Oryctolagus cuniculus: one gene and its partner. The protein of the gene in region 1 interacts with the protein of each later gene in a biochemical or structural test. Links are inferred from orthologs where the notes say so. Each region holds a gene or a part of one and is shown in the gene's direction. Other genes may lie near its edges.

The links.
Region 2: of the proteins of RHOA (region 1) and KCTD13, one has a biochemical effect on the other in vitro, tested with the Homo sapiens proteins (2 studies listed by BioGRID, with this or other methods). The link is inferred for Oryctolagus cuniculus from reciprocal best matches to the Homo sapiens genes RHOA and KCTD13.

The regions. Positions count from the first base shown.
Region 1 is NC_091441.1:99,886,739-99,892,461, forward strand, and holds the end of RHOA (transforming protein RhoA), read left to right. Parts: intron 1-955; coding exon 956-1,086; intron 1,087-2,201; coding exon 2,202-2,375; 3' UTR 2,376-3,416; downstream 3,417-5,723. UniProt on the Homo sapiens protein: Small GTPase which cycles between an active GTP-bound and an inactive GDP-bound state.
Region 2 is NC_091450.1:7,314,720-7,320,353, reverse strand, and holds part of KCTD13 (BTB/POZ domain-containing adapter for CUL3-mediated RhoA degradation protein 1), read left to right. Parts: intron 1-1,349; coding exon 1,350-1,439; intron 1,440-1,520; coding exon 1,521-1,573; intron 1,574-2,199; coding exon 2,200-2,395; intron 2,396-5,634. UniProt on the Homo sapiens protein: Substrate-specific adapter of a BCR (BTB-CUL3-RBX1) E3 ubiquitin-protein ligase complex required for synaptic transmission.

The DNA.
Region 1 (5,723 bases):
CTGATCCGATGGCAGGAGCCAGGTACTTATCCTGGTCTCCATGGGGTGCAGGGCCCAAGCACTTGGGCCATCCTCCACTGCACTCCCTGGCCACAGCAGAGAGCTGGCCTGGAAGAGGGGCAACTGGGACAGAACCCAGTGTGCCGGCGCCGCAAGGTGGAGGATTAGCCTAGTGAGCCGTGGCGCTGGCCCACAGTCAGTCTTGATCTACTTGAATCCAAGGGTGGAGGTCCATGAGCAATGAGGACTGAGCCTCTGCTGGTGGCACCAGCATCCCATATGGGCACCACCAGTTCATGTCCCGGTTGCAGCACTTCTGATCCGGCTCTCTGCTTATGGCCTGGAAAAGCAGTGGAGGATGGCCCAGGAGCTTGGGCCCCTGTAACCATGTGGGGGACAGGAAGAAACTACTGGCCCCTTATTTCCAACCAGCCCAGCTCTGGCCGTTTGGGGAGTAAACCAGAGGATGGAAGGCCTCTCTCTGTCTGTCTCTCTCTCCCTCTCTCTAACTCCATCTCTCAAATAAATAAGTCAATCTTTTTATCTTTTAAATAAAAAACAGAGATGACATGTGGACCTTGGGCCAGCTGCTGCTCCAGAAGGGCGACCCCTTTTGTAAGCTGCAGTCAGAATTGTCTGCCACAAAGACCTGTGGGAAGTCTCCCTAGGGCTATTGTGGAGCTTCTCTGTGTTCTGGAGCCTCCGTGCCTTCTGAGCCCTTACTTGGGCCCTACCTCCGCAGGAGCTTGGCCATCTCTCTTGAAAAGCCTGTGGCTCAGTGTTTAAGGGAGGGGCTTAGATTTGCATTTTTCTGTCATTTTTAAAACTAGGAGGATTCCATTAAATGTTCAGCATACTTCTGAAGCAGCAAAGGAAGTATTTGCAATTAGAGCTGAAGGATATTCTTCAAGATGGAATTATTTGTAGCCCCATATTTGTGCATTTTTTCTTTCAGAAAATATCCCAGAAAAATGGACCCCAGAAGTGAAGCATTTCTGTCCCAACGTGCCCATCATCCTGGTTGGGAACAAGAAGGATCTTCGGAATGATGAACACACAAGGCGGGAGCTAGCCAAGATGAAGCAGGCACGGTCTGGGGCGGGCTCTGTCTTCTGTAGCCGTCTCGAATGAGGGCCCCAGGGTTGGCTGTTCAGGGAATCCAGCAGAAAGCCTCACAGGCCAGGTTGTTTTAGATGCCTCTCTATCCATCTGGCCCTCAGTGACTTGTGACCTTAACACATGATCGATCCCTAAGACTCCTTACTCCTATGAGATGGGCTCTCTTAGGCAGTAGCACTGTACCATCCATCCAGGAACCATCCCAGTAAGTAGTCAAGGCTTCTGAGGTAGGAACTTCATCAGCCTCTTCATTTATTGTTTTGGCACATGTGAGGCCAAAGATAAAGTAGTAGCAACTAAAGAAGCAGGAAGTCCCAAGGCATGGAGTCCAGACAGAAGACTCTAATGCTTTCATTAAAGTGATGATGGAGGTAGCATCTTGGCTTTTTAGAATCTAGTCAGGTGGCAGGCTGGGTGTTGAGCACAACGTGTAAGGCACTGCTTTACATTGCCCATACCCATGTTGGAGGGCCTGGTAGGAGTCCTGGCTCAGCTTCTGATCCAGCTTCCTGTTAACACACTGGAAGCCTTTAGAGGATGGCTTAAGTATTGGGGCCCCTGCCACCCATGTGGGAGACTAGGAGGGAGCCCTGGCAGTTACAGACATTTGGGGAGTGAACTCTTAGATTGAAGATCCTGTCTCTGCTTTTCAGATAAAATGGGAATTAAAAGTTCCAAGAGGCCTAATGGCAGGGCTTCCTCCAGAGCAGGAGGAACGTTGAGGTCTTCAAACCAAGTTCTCCCGCTGAGGTCTGAATGGGAGGACAGTCTCAGTCTCTCCATGGCATTCAGTCCTCTGTGGAAGACCAGTGCTTGCCCTGGATAGGCAGCTTGAGTAATTTAATCGGTGATTCTTTCCTTAGCTTTCCTCTGACTTCTTCCCTCTTCCTCATTTCTTCCCAAAAAAGCATGTTTAATAAGATTTTATATTGGAAAAGGAGTAGTCACTGCATTTCAGTGTCACAATTTCATAAGATAGTTTAAATTTGGGACTTTGGCAACTTAGAACTTTGAGCTGAATCTCTAACTGCTTACTGTGTGTATTTAGTACTGTTAGCTGACAGCATTCTTCTTTGTTGCAGGAGCCAGTAAAACCTGAAGAGGGCAGAGATATGGCAAACAGGATTGGCGCCTTTGGGTACATGGAGTGTTCAGCAAAGACCAAAGATGGAGTGAGGGAGGTTTTTGAAATGGCCACGAGAGCGGCTCTGCAAGCCAGACGTGGGAAGAAAAAATCCGGGTGCCTTGTCTTGTGAAACCTCGCTGCAAGCACAACCCTCACGCGGTTAATTTTGAAGTGCTGTTTATTAATCTTAGTGTATGATTACTGGCCTTTTTCATTTATCTATAATTTACCTAAGATTACAAATCAGAAGTCATCTTGCTACCAGTATTTAGAAGCCAACCATGATTATTAACGATGTCCAGCCCGTCTGACCAGCCAGGGGCTTCTGACACTGCTCTAACAGCCCTCTCTGCACTCCCACCTGACACACCAGGCGCTAATTCAAGGAATTTCTTAACTTCTTGCTTCTTTCTAGAAAGAGAAACAGTTGGTAACTTTTGTGAATTAGGCTGTAACTACTTTATAACTAACATGTCCTGCCTGTCATCTGTCAGCTGCAAGGAAGCTGAGTTAGCACCTCAGAGCTTGACTCCTTCAAAGATGGCATTCGGCATAGCTCTGGGGTGGGCATCCAGTTTTTTTTTTAAAATGTGCTCAGCCAGAAAGGTCCGAGACGTTGCAGCTGTGGCAGAGTTACAGTTCTGTGGTTTCATGTTAGTTACCTTATAGTTACTGTGTAATTAGTGCCACTTAATGTATGTTACCAAAAATAAATATATCTACCCAGACTAGATGTAGTATTTTTTGTATAATTGGATTTCCTAATACTGATATTTGTCATCCCCACAGAAAGTGTATTGGTTTTTTTAAAAAAAAGAAAGTGTATTTGGAAATAAAGTCAGATGGAAAATTGATTTTTTAAATTCCCGTTTTGTCACTTTCTCTAATAAAAGATGGCCATATCACCCCACCTCAGCCCCACGTATCCCAGTGCCCCTCTCCAGAGCTGGGTTAAGTACGTAGGAATTTGGTTTTCAACTGTGGAAAGTGGCATAGCCTTTCTCCTGGACTGCAGGGTCTGGCTCTGATTCACAGTGCTCTTTCTCCTCACTGCAAGAGGAGCCACCCACCTCAGAGGCGGCACCGGCTTCTCTGCTCTCCACCGACTAGACTTTTACTGTGTGCCAGTTACGTTTTCCAACTACTAATAGAATAAAGGCAGTTTTCCAAACTTGAGTGTCTTGGTGTTTGTGTTGCTCTCTCCAGGGCTGAGGGCAGGAGGATCGAAGGACTCCGCCCTCTCACCCTGGCCCACCCCTCGGGTTCCTTCCCCCCCAGAGAACACGGACGTGATTATTCTGTGCCACTTTCAAGTTCACCGTCGGGAGTGGGTGGGAACGCACTCCGGGCGGCTTCTCGGTGCTGGTGAGGGTTTTGGGCGACACCCGAGCCCCAGGCTTTAGGGCATTGTACTGCTCAAAACCTGTGTCAAGGCAGTGCAGCCCTGGGGCCGACTGGGCATTGGCAGACTGGGACCGAATGGGAGCACGCTCTTGGCAGCCTCACCGCGCAGAGCCTGGTGACCTGGGTGGCCCTTGGCGTTCCTGCCCAGCGCCAGGGAGCCCCGCCGCGCAGAGCTGCTGCCCACTGCAGCTTCACCCCGTCTTAACTGCGGGACAGCTGGCGACAGTAGGGCACACGCTGCAAGAGGAACACGGCAGAGGAGAGGGCGCTCTGCTGGACCCGTCTACCAAGGCTCACACCCTAAGGAGCTTTTAGGACAGCTTCCAGGGGGCCCTCGGCGCTGTTACCCAGGCCCGTGTGGTCGGACCTTGGCTTCTGGCCGCACCTTCCCGCCGGTCCCCAGCTGCGGGAGGGGCCGAGACCCTTCGGGGAAGGCGGAGGCCGGATGAGGCGGGACCCTCGGGCCCGGAAAAAGTGCCTGCGCCACGTGACCCTGCCGCCGACCAGTTAAAAGGAGGCGCTGCCGAACACCCCGGCTCCGCGCTTCGGAAGCTCCGCTTTGTCTCACACCATGTGTGCGGCTCGTATGGCGGCGGCTGCCCAGTCTGTGTACTCCTTCTCAGCGCACCCGCTGGCCGGCGGGGAGCCCGTGAACCTGGGCTCCCTGCGGGGCAAGGTGCTGCTCATTGAGAATGTGGCGTCGCTCTGAGGCACTACGGTCCGGGACTACACCCAGATGAACGAGCTGCAAGAGCGCCTCGGGCCCCGGGGCCTGGTCGTGCTCGGCTTCCCGTGCAACCAGTTTGGGCATCAGGTGCGCGGGGCGGGGGTAGGGGGCGCTGGCGGGGCTGGGGGCGCGCAGCCGCGGTCAGGGGCGCTGGCGGGGCGGGCCCTCGCTCCCTTCCCTTCCCCAGCGCGTCACGACTGGAATGCAGGCGCACACCGGGGTTGGGCTCCGAAGGCCACTTCCTGGTGACTCATCAAAACCTCCTTGTTTGCGGTTTGAAGTTTCCATGCCCTCCCTCCCGCGGCCGCGGGTCCTAGCTGCCCTTCTCTCCTACAGGAGAACGCCAAGAATGAGGAGATTCTGAATTCCCTCAAGTATGTCCGGCCTGGAGGCGGGTTCGAGCCCAACTTCATGCTCTTCCAGAAGTGCGAGGTGAACGGCGCCAAGGCGCACCCGCTCTTCGCCTTCCTGCGGGAGGCCCTGCCGGCGCCCAGCGACGACCCCACTGCGCTCATGACCGACCCCAAGTTCATCACCTGGTCCCCGGTGTGCCGTAACGACGTTTCCTGGAACTTCGAGAAGTTCCTGGTGGGCCCCGATGGCGTCCCGGTGCGCAGGTACAGCCGCCGCTTCCCCACCATCGACATCGAGCCCGACATCCAAGCCCTGCTGTCCAAGGGGTCTGGCGGTGCCTAGGGCGCCCCCTACCCTGGCTGCTTGCCAGTGGCCTGCTGCTCTCTGGGGGTTTCATCCATGAGGGCGTTCCCCCGAAAACAAATGGAGGAACGCCTGATGTCCGGGAAACCCCCAGGTGGGCGCTGGTCCTGTCCATCCCTGCCTCTCCTCTGCCAGCCTGAGGCGAGCTTCTTCGCTAATAAAATGCTGAGTTCCAGTACACCTGCACTGTGTTCTGTGTCAGTGTCTGCTTGGGGACACATTTCCTATTAGCATTGGGTCTTATTTCTGCTAGGTCATGCAACAGGGCCACCCAGAGGCCCAGCCGCAACAGAAAACCCTTACTCGGAAAGAGGAAGGCCCATGGCTTGGCCCGCCTGCCTGTCCTGGTAGAGGGGCCATTCCTTTGTTTCCTGGACACTGAGAGATGACCACCACAAACTCAGGTCCCCACTCGCTTCAGTCTGGCCTCTCTAAGTGTTAGGCCACACAAGCCCCTTGTACACAGTTGGAAGCTCATGTGATCTAGTTGGCCAGATCTTTCCATTTTGGGACCCAGTGCTTGAACCTGTTCAGGGCCAGTGCTGTGGCGTAGCAGGCTGAGCCTCCGCCTGCAGCACCAGCATGTCCCATATGGGCACCGGTTCATGTCCCAGCTGTTTCTCTTCAGAT
Region 2 (5,634 bases), on another chromosome or scaffold:
GCTAAACCACTCCTGGCTCTCCAGTGTGGAAATAATAGATGCTCTTTATAAACTGAAGCTTCGAAGTTTGGGAGAATTTGTCAAACAGCAGTAGGTAACTAATACACACCCCACACTTACCCGCACTTATGTGTGGTGTCGTCTTTAATGAATTTGTTTATTTTTGAATGTTTAGTTGTTTGAAAGGCAGAGCAACACAGCAGGGCAAACAGAGAGTCATCACGCTGGTTCATTCCCCAAATGGCTGCAATAGCCAGGGCTGGGCCAGGCTGAAGGAGGAGCCTGGAGCTCCATCTGGGTCTGCCGCCTGGGTGGCAGGAACTCAAGTACGTGAGCCACCTTCTGCTGCTTTCCCAGGTGTGTGAGCAGGAGCTGCATGGGAAGCAGAGCAGGGGGACTCAGGCAAGCCCTCCGTGTGGGATGCCAGCGTTGCAGGTGGCGGCGTAGCCTGCTGCGCCAAACGCCAGCCCTCAGGTGTCTGTTCAAACAGCAGCCCTCGTACGTGCGCCGGCCTGTTTCATGCTTCTTTATTATGTCCACTGGGTTTCTCATTCGTTTCTGCACCAGCACTACCCCGTTCGCATCACTGTGGCTGTGTAGTGTATCTCACCATCCAGGAGCCTCAGTCCCTCCTCTTTGCTGCTGTGTAAAAACTGACCTAAATAATTGCAGATATTTGTCCTTCCATAGTAATTTTAGAAGAAGTCGTAAGAGTTTCTAGAATTCTAGATTTGCACATTTTAGTTTTTCAGGGTTGGGCGAGGTGAGAGGGGTTTGACCATGAAGATTTTGGAAGGCAGAGGAAAAAGAAGCCCGTGTTTCTGGTTCTGGTCTTCTCTCCACCTCTTCCCACCCAGCCAGGGTTTTCAGGCAACAGATACGTGTTGAGCTCCGCGTGTGTGCTGGGCGCCTGCTGCCTGTGTGAGGTGGAGGAACAGACAGACCATAAACAAATGTACAAAAAAGAAAAAAAAAAGCATGCCCAGGACTAAGTGCTGTGAAGAAGGTGAGCCGTTAATTTGCAGGGAGGAGGCTGCGCCGGTGGGGAGGTGGGCCAGCCCTTCCAGAGGCACTGTCGGTGCTGAGATCTGAGCGGGCCACGGAGCCAGCTCTGCAGACAGCTGAGCGCAGCGCAGGCAGGAGGAACAGTGATGGTGGCCACAGGCTGGCGCACGGCAGTCCACAGGGCCTGAGCCAGCAGGGTCAGGGCACAGTGGTAGAGGTGAGGCCAGAGACATCAGCACTGCCCGTGGGCCACTAAGCAGCCTGCGTTTTCCCCCAAGGGCTTCTAAGTGGGGGCATGAAAGACCTTTGGTTATGCCGTTAACCACCTTCCTCTTCTTCCCCAGCAAAAAAGGGAGAACCTGTCCCCGCTGTGCGTCATCCCCACTGTGACATCTCCCCGGGAGGAGCAGCAGCTCCTGGCCAGCACCTCCAAGGTGAGCTCCCACAGCCTAGCCCTGGAGGCGGGGCCTCTCCCTACAGCCTGACCCCCCTCCCTCTGTCCTCTCCCCCCACAGCCCGTGGTGAAACTCCTGCACAACCGCAGTAACAACAAGTACTCCTACACCAGGTGACGCGGGGGCGGGGCGTGGGGGGCTGGGGCAGAGCCGGTGGGGGGGCGGGGGGGGCCCTGTCCCGGTCCCCAGCCACACAGCCTTAGGGCCCTGCAGAGGGACTCCAGCAGCGCCTGCCCTGGCACTCACCCCAGAGTGCTTTGGACAGCTCATGTTCACTTCTGAGCTTCAGGCCGGGGACCAGAGAGCTGGGGCCCAGGGGATTGGGTGGCAGTGGCAGTGGCAACGGCTGGGCCGTGCCAAGGGCGGATTTTTCTCTCTGGCATTGCTCTGGGTGCACCCTGCATGTCCACTTACACAGTCCTTGGTGACGTACAGTGTGCTCGCGACTTCCGTTTCACAGACGGGGGAGGGGCGGGGGGACTGAGGCACCGAGAGCTGAGGTGAATGGCCTGGTGTCACTGGATGGAGCCGGGCTGGCAGCAGCCTGGTTGCAGGGCCTCTCAGGGCACTGGCTTGCGCTCTCGCTCTCGGCAAATGCGCCTTCCTTTGGGCCCCAGAGGGTAGGCAGCTCCCTGGGGGTGCCAGACCCCCCCCCCCGCAGGACCAGAGTGCTGGGAACCCGGGGGAGGGGGAGGGGAGGGCGGAGGGAGCTAGTGGCTGAGGCCCGGCCCCTCCTCAGCACTTCGGACGACAACCTCCTGAAGAACATCGAGCTGTTTGACAAGCTGGCCCTGCGCTTCCACGGGCGGCTGCTCTTCCTCAAGGACGTCCTGGGGGACGAGATCTGCTGCTGGTCCTTCTACGGGCAGGGCCGCAAGATCGCCGAGGTGTGCTGCACCTCCATCGTCTACGCCACGGAGAAGAAGCAGACCAAGGTCAGCAGGGCTCAGGGCCTGGCGGGCGGTGGGGCGGCCGGGAGCCGGGAGCCAGGGTTCCGTGGTTCGGGGTGTAACCCAGGGCAAGTCACCTCTGTGTGTGTGTGTTTCTCTCTCTCTCTCTCTCTCTCTCTCTCTCTTTTTAACGATGGGCTGATTTGAAAGGCAGAATGACAGAGGGACAGACAGAGATCTTCCGTCCACTGGTGGACTCCCCAGATAACCAACAGGTAGCGCTAGGCCAGGCCGAAACCAGGAGCCAGCAAGTCCATGCAGTCTCCCACGTGGTGGCAGTGGCCCCAGCACTCGGGCCATCACCTGCCGCCTCCCAGGCGTGTTTGCAGGAAGCCGGATGGGAAGTGCGGGGCGGTGGGGGAACCAGCACTCTGATATGGATGCAGGCTCCCACAGCAGCGTGGCCCCCTGTGCCACAACGCCCACCCCTCTCTGTTTCACTGCCTGTGAAATGAAGGTGCTGATTAGAACAGGACTCAGCCTCAGCCCATGGGAAGAGTTGTAAGGCTATCTGTAGTCCCCAGAGAGAATGCTCAGGTTTGGGGGTGGGGTGTGCCTTTTCCCATATGGAAGGTCCATAGATACCCGGAAATGTCTGTCACCACCTAGAGGGCGTTTTTTTTTTTTTTTTTTTTTAAGATTTACTTTATTTATTTGAAAGGCAGAGTTAGAGTTAGAGTTAGAGAGAGAGAGAGAAAGCGCCTCCATCCGCTGGTTCACTCCCCAAATGGCCGCAATGACATGGGCTGGGCCAGGCCGGAGCCAGGAGCCTCTTCCACGTCTCCCATGCGGGTGCAGGGGCCCAAGCTCTTGGACCCTCCTCCCTTGCTTTCCTGGATGCATTACAGGGAGCTGGATGGGGAGTGGAGCAGCCGGGAGCGCCAGCACTGCAAGCTGGGGCTTTGCCGCTGCACCCCCACAGCGAGGCTCTTACGAACTTCGGACCAGATGGCCACTTAGATCTCGCTGGGCTTGCAGGCCCTGAGTCTCACACGACAGCAGAGGCTTCCCAGCACCTGCTCCGTGCGAAGCACCGCAGCCAGGCTCCACTCCAAGGGGACCGGCGTGCTGAGGGCAGGGGCCGCCCGAGGTGGATGTGGTGGGTGATGGATGCCCTCAGCCCCCTCCCCCCAGTCACTGCGAGTCTCCCAGTAGCCTGTGCTGTTTCACACCTGCCTCTGCGCACACTCTTGCCACATTTTGGAAAGGTCATTCATTCATTCATTCATTGATAAGGCAGACAGAGGGGTGGATCTTCCATCTGATGGTTCACTTCCCAGGAAGTGAAGCTCCTGAAGCCAGGAGCCAGGGATTCCATCTGGGTGTCCCATGTGGATCCAAGCACTTGGACCACCTTCCACTGCTTCCTGGGTATACTCGCAGAGAGCCGGACTGGAAGCAGAGCAGCTGGGACTCGAACCGGCACTCTGATATGGGACATAGGCATCGCAGGCGGCTGCTTAACCTGTCGTGCCACACTGCTGGCCTCTTCTTCCTCATCCCTGTGCCTAAAGGACACGTATTTCATTTTTAGGCCCAAGATGACCAGCACTTTCTTTGTGACACTTTCCCTCATGAACTTTCTTTAAAAAAAAAAAAAGAATTATACGTAAATATATATTTTATTTTATTTTATTTTTTTGACAGGCAGAGTGGACAGTGAGAGAGAGAGACAGAAAGGTCTTCCTTTTGCCGTTGGTTCACCCTCCAATGGCTGCCGTGGCCAGCACGCTGCAGCCGGCGCACCGCGCTGATCTGATGGCAGGAGCCAGGTACTTATCCTGGTCTCCCATGGGGTGCAGGGCCCAAGTACTTGGGCCATCCTCCACTGCACTCCCTGGCCACAGCAGAGAGCTGGTCTGGAAGAGGGGCAACCGGGACAGAATCCGGCGCCCCAACTGGGACTAGAACCCGGTGTGCCAGCGCTGCAAGGCAGAGGATTAGCCTAGTGAGCCGCAGTGCCGGCCAAGAATTATATATAAATATATAAATTGGAGAGGCAGAGAGCTGCCATCCACTAGTTTATTCCCCAAATGCCCACTATAACAGGCTGGGCCAGGCCAGAAGATAAACCAATCGTAAGAGTGCATCTTGATTAGGACATGCCCACTACAACAGAGGCTGGGCGGGGCTGGAAGATTAACCAGTCATGAGAGTGCATCTTGATTAAGAGCTGTGGTGGTTCCCGCCTTCCAAGGCCAGGCATCCTCTTGGCTTCATCCTTTCTGCTCTGCCTCCATCCCAGTGGCACTGGCCTGGCTGACCCTCGCTCCTGACCCAGAGCTTTCACATTTGCCCCTCCCCAGACAGACCACCTCCTCTGGCTGTCCACCCAGGTGGACGGCACCTCAGGGAGGCCTTCCTGAACTGCCTGACATGGTGAGCCTCCTGGCTGTGGCCAGCCTCACCTGCCTCCTCTCCCAGCGTCTGTCATCATCCGACTCAGTTTACGTTTTCGTAAGTGTACGAGGCTACCTCAGAAAGTTTGTGGAGAAGTGGGATTACGAGATAAGTTTATTTTGGTGCCAAAGCATTTTGAAGTGCATGTGGTGTCTTTCATTACATGTATTTTCCACGGACTTTTTGAAGACCCTCATATGTGTGAGTCTCCCCACTAGAACGTAAACTCCCTGTGGGCAGGGGCTTTGTCCCCAGGGTGCAGAGGGGGCCCCGGGACAGCGCGGTCCTTGGGTGAGTATTTGCCACATGAGGAGACAAGGCCGCGGAGGAGCGGAAACAGTCACTCTGCCTGGCTGCAGAGCTGGGCCTTGAAGCAGGACTTTGCTGAGTAAAGACGTCACAGGGGCCAGCGCTGGGACGTAGTGGGGAAAGCCGCCACCTGCGACACAGGCATCCTATGTGAGCGCCAGCTGGAGCCCCGGCTGCTCCACTTCCCATCCAGCTCCCTGCTACCAGCCTGAGAGATGCAGTGGACGACGACCCAAGTCCTTGGGCCCCTGCACCCACGTGGGAGGCCGAGTCGAAGCTCCTGGCTTCCAGCTGGCCCAGCCCAGCCATTGCAGCTGGCTGGGGAGAGAACTGGCGAGTGGAAGCTTGCTCGCTTGCTCTCTCTCTCTCTCTCCTTCTCTCTCTGTAACTCGGCCTTACAAATAAATAAGTAAATCTTAAAAAAATGAAGAAGGTGCAGAGACATCCAGGCCAGTGCAGGAGCCGCCAGGGCTGGGGGCTGGCTCTGTGCTGCTGGACCATGGCGGGTTGTGACC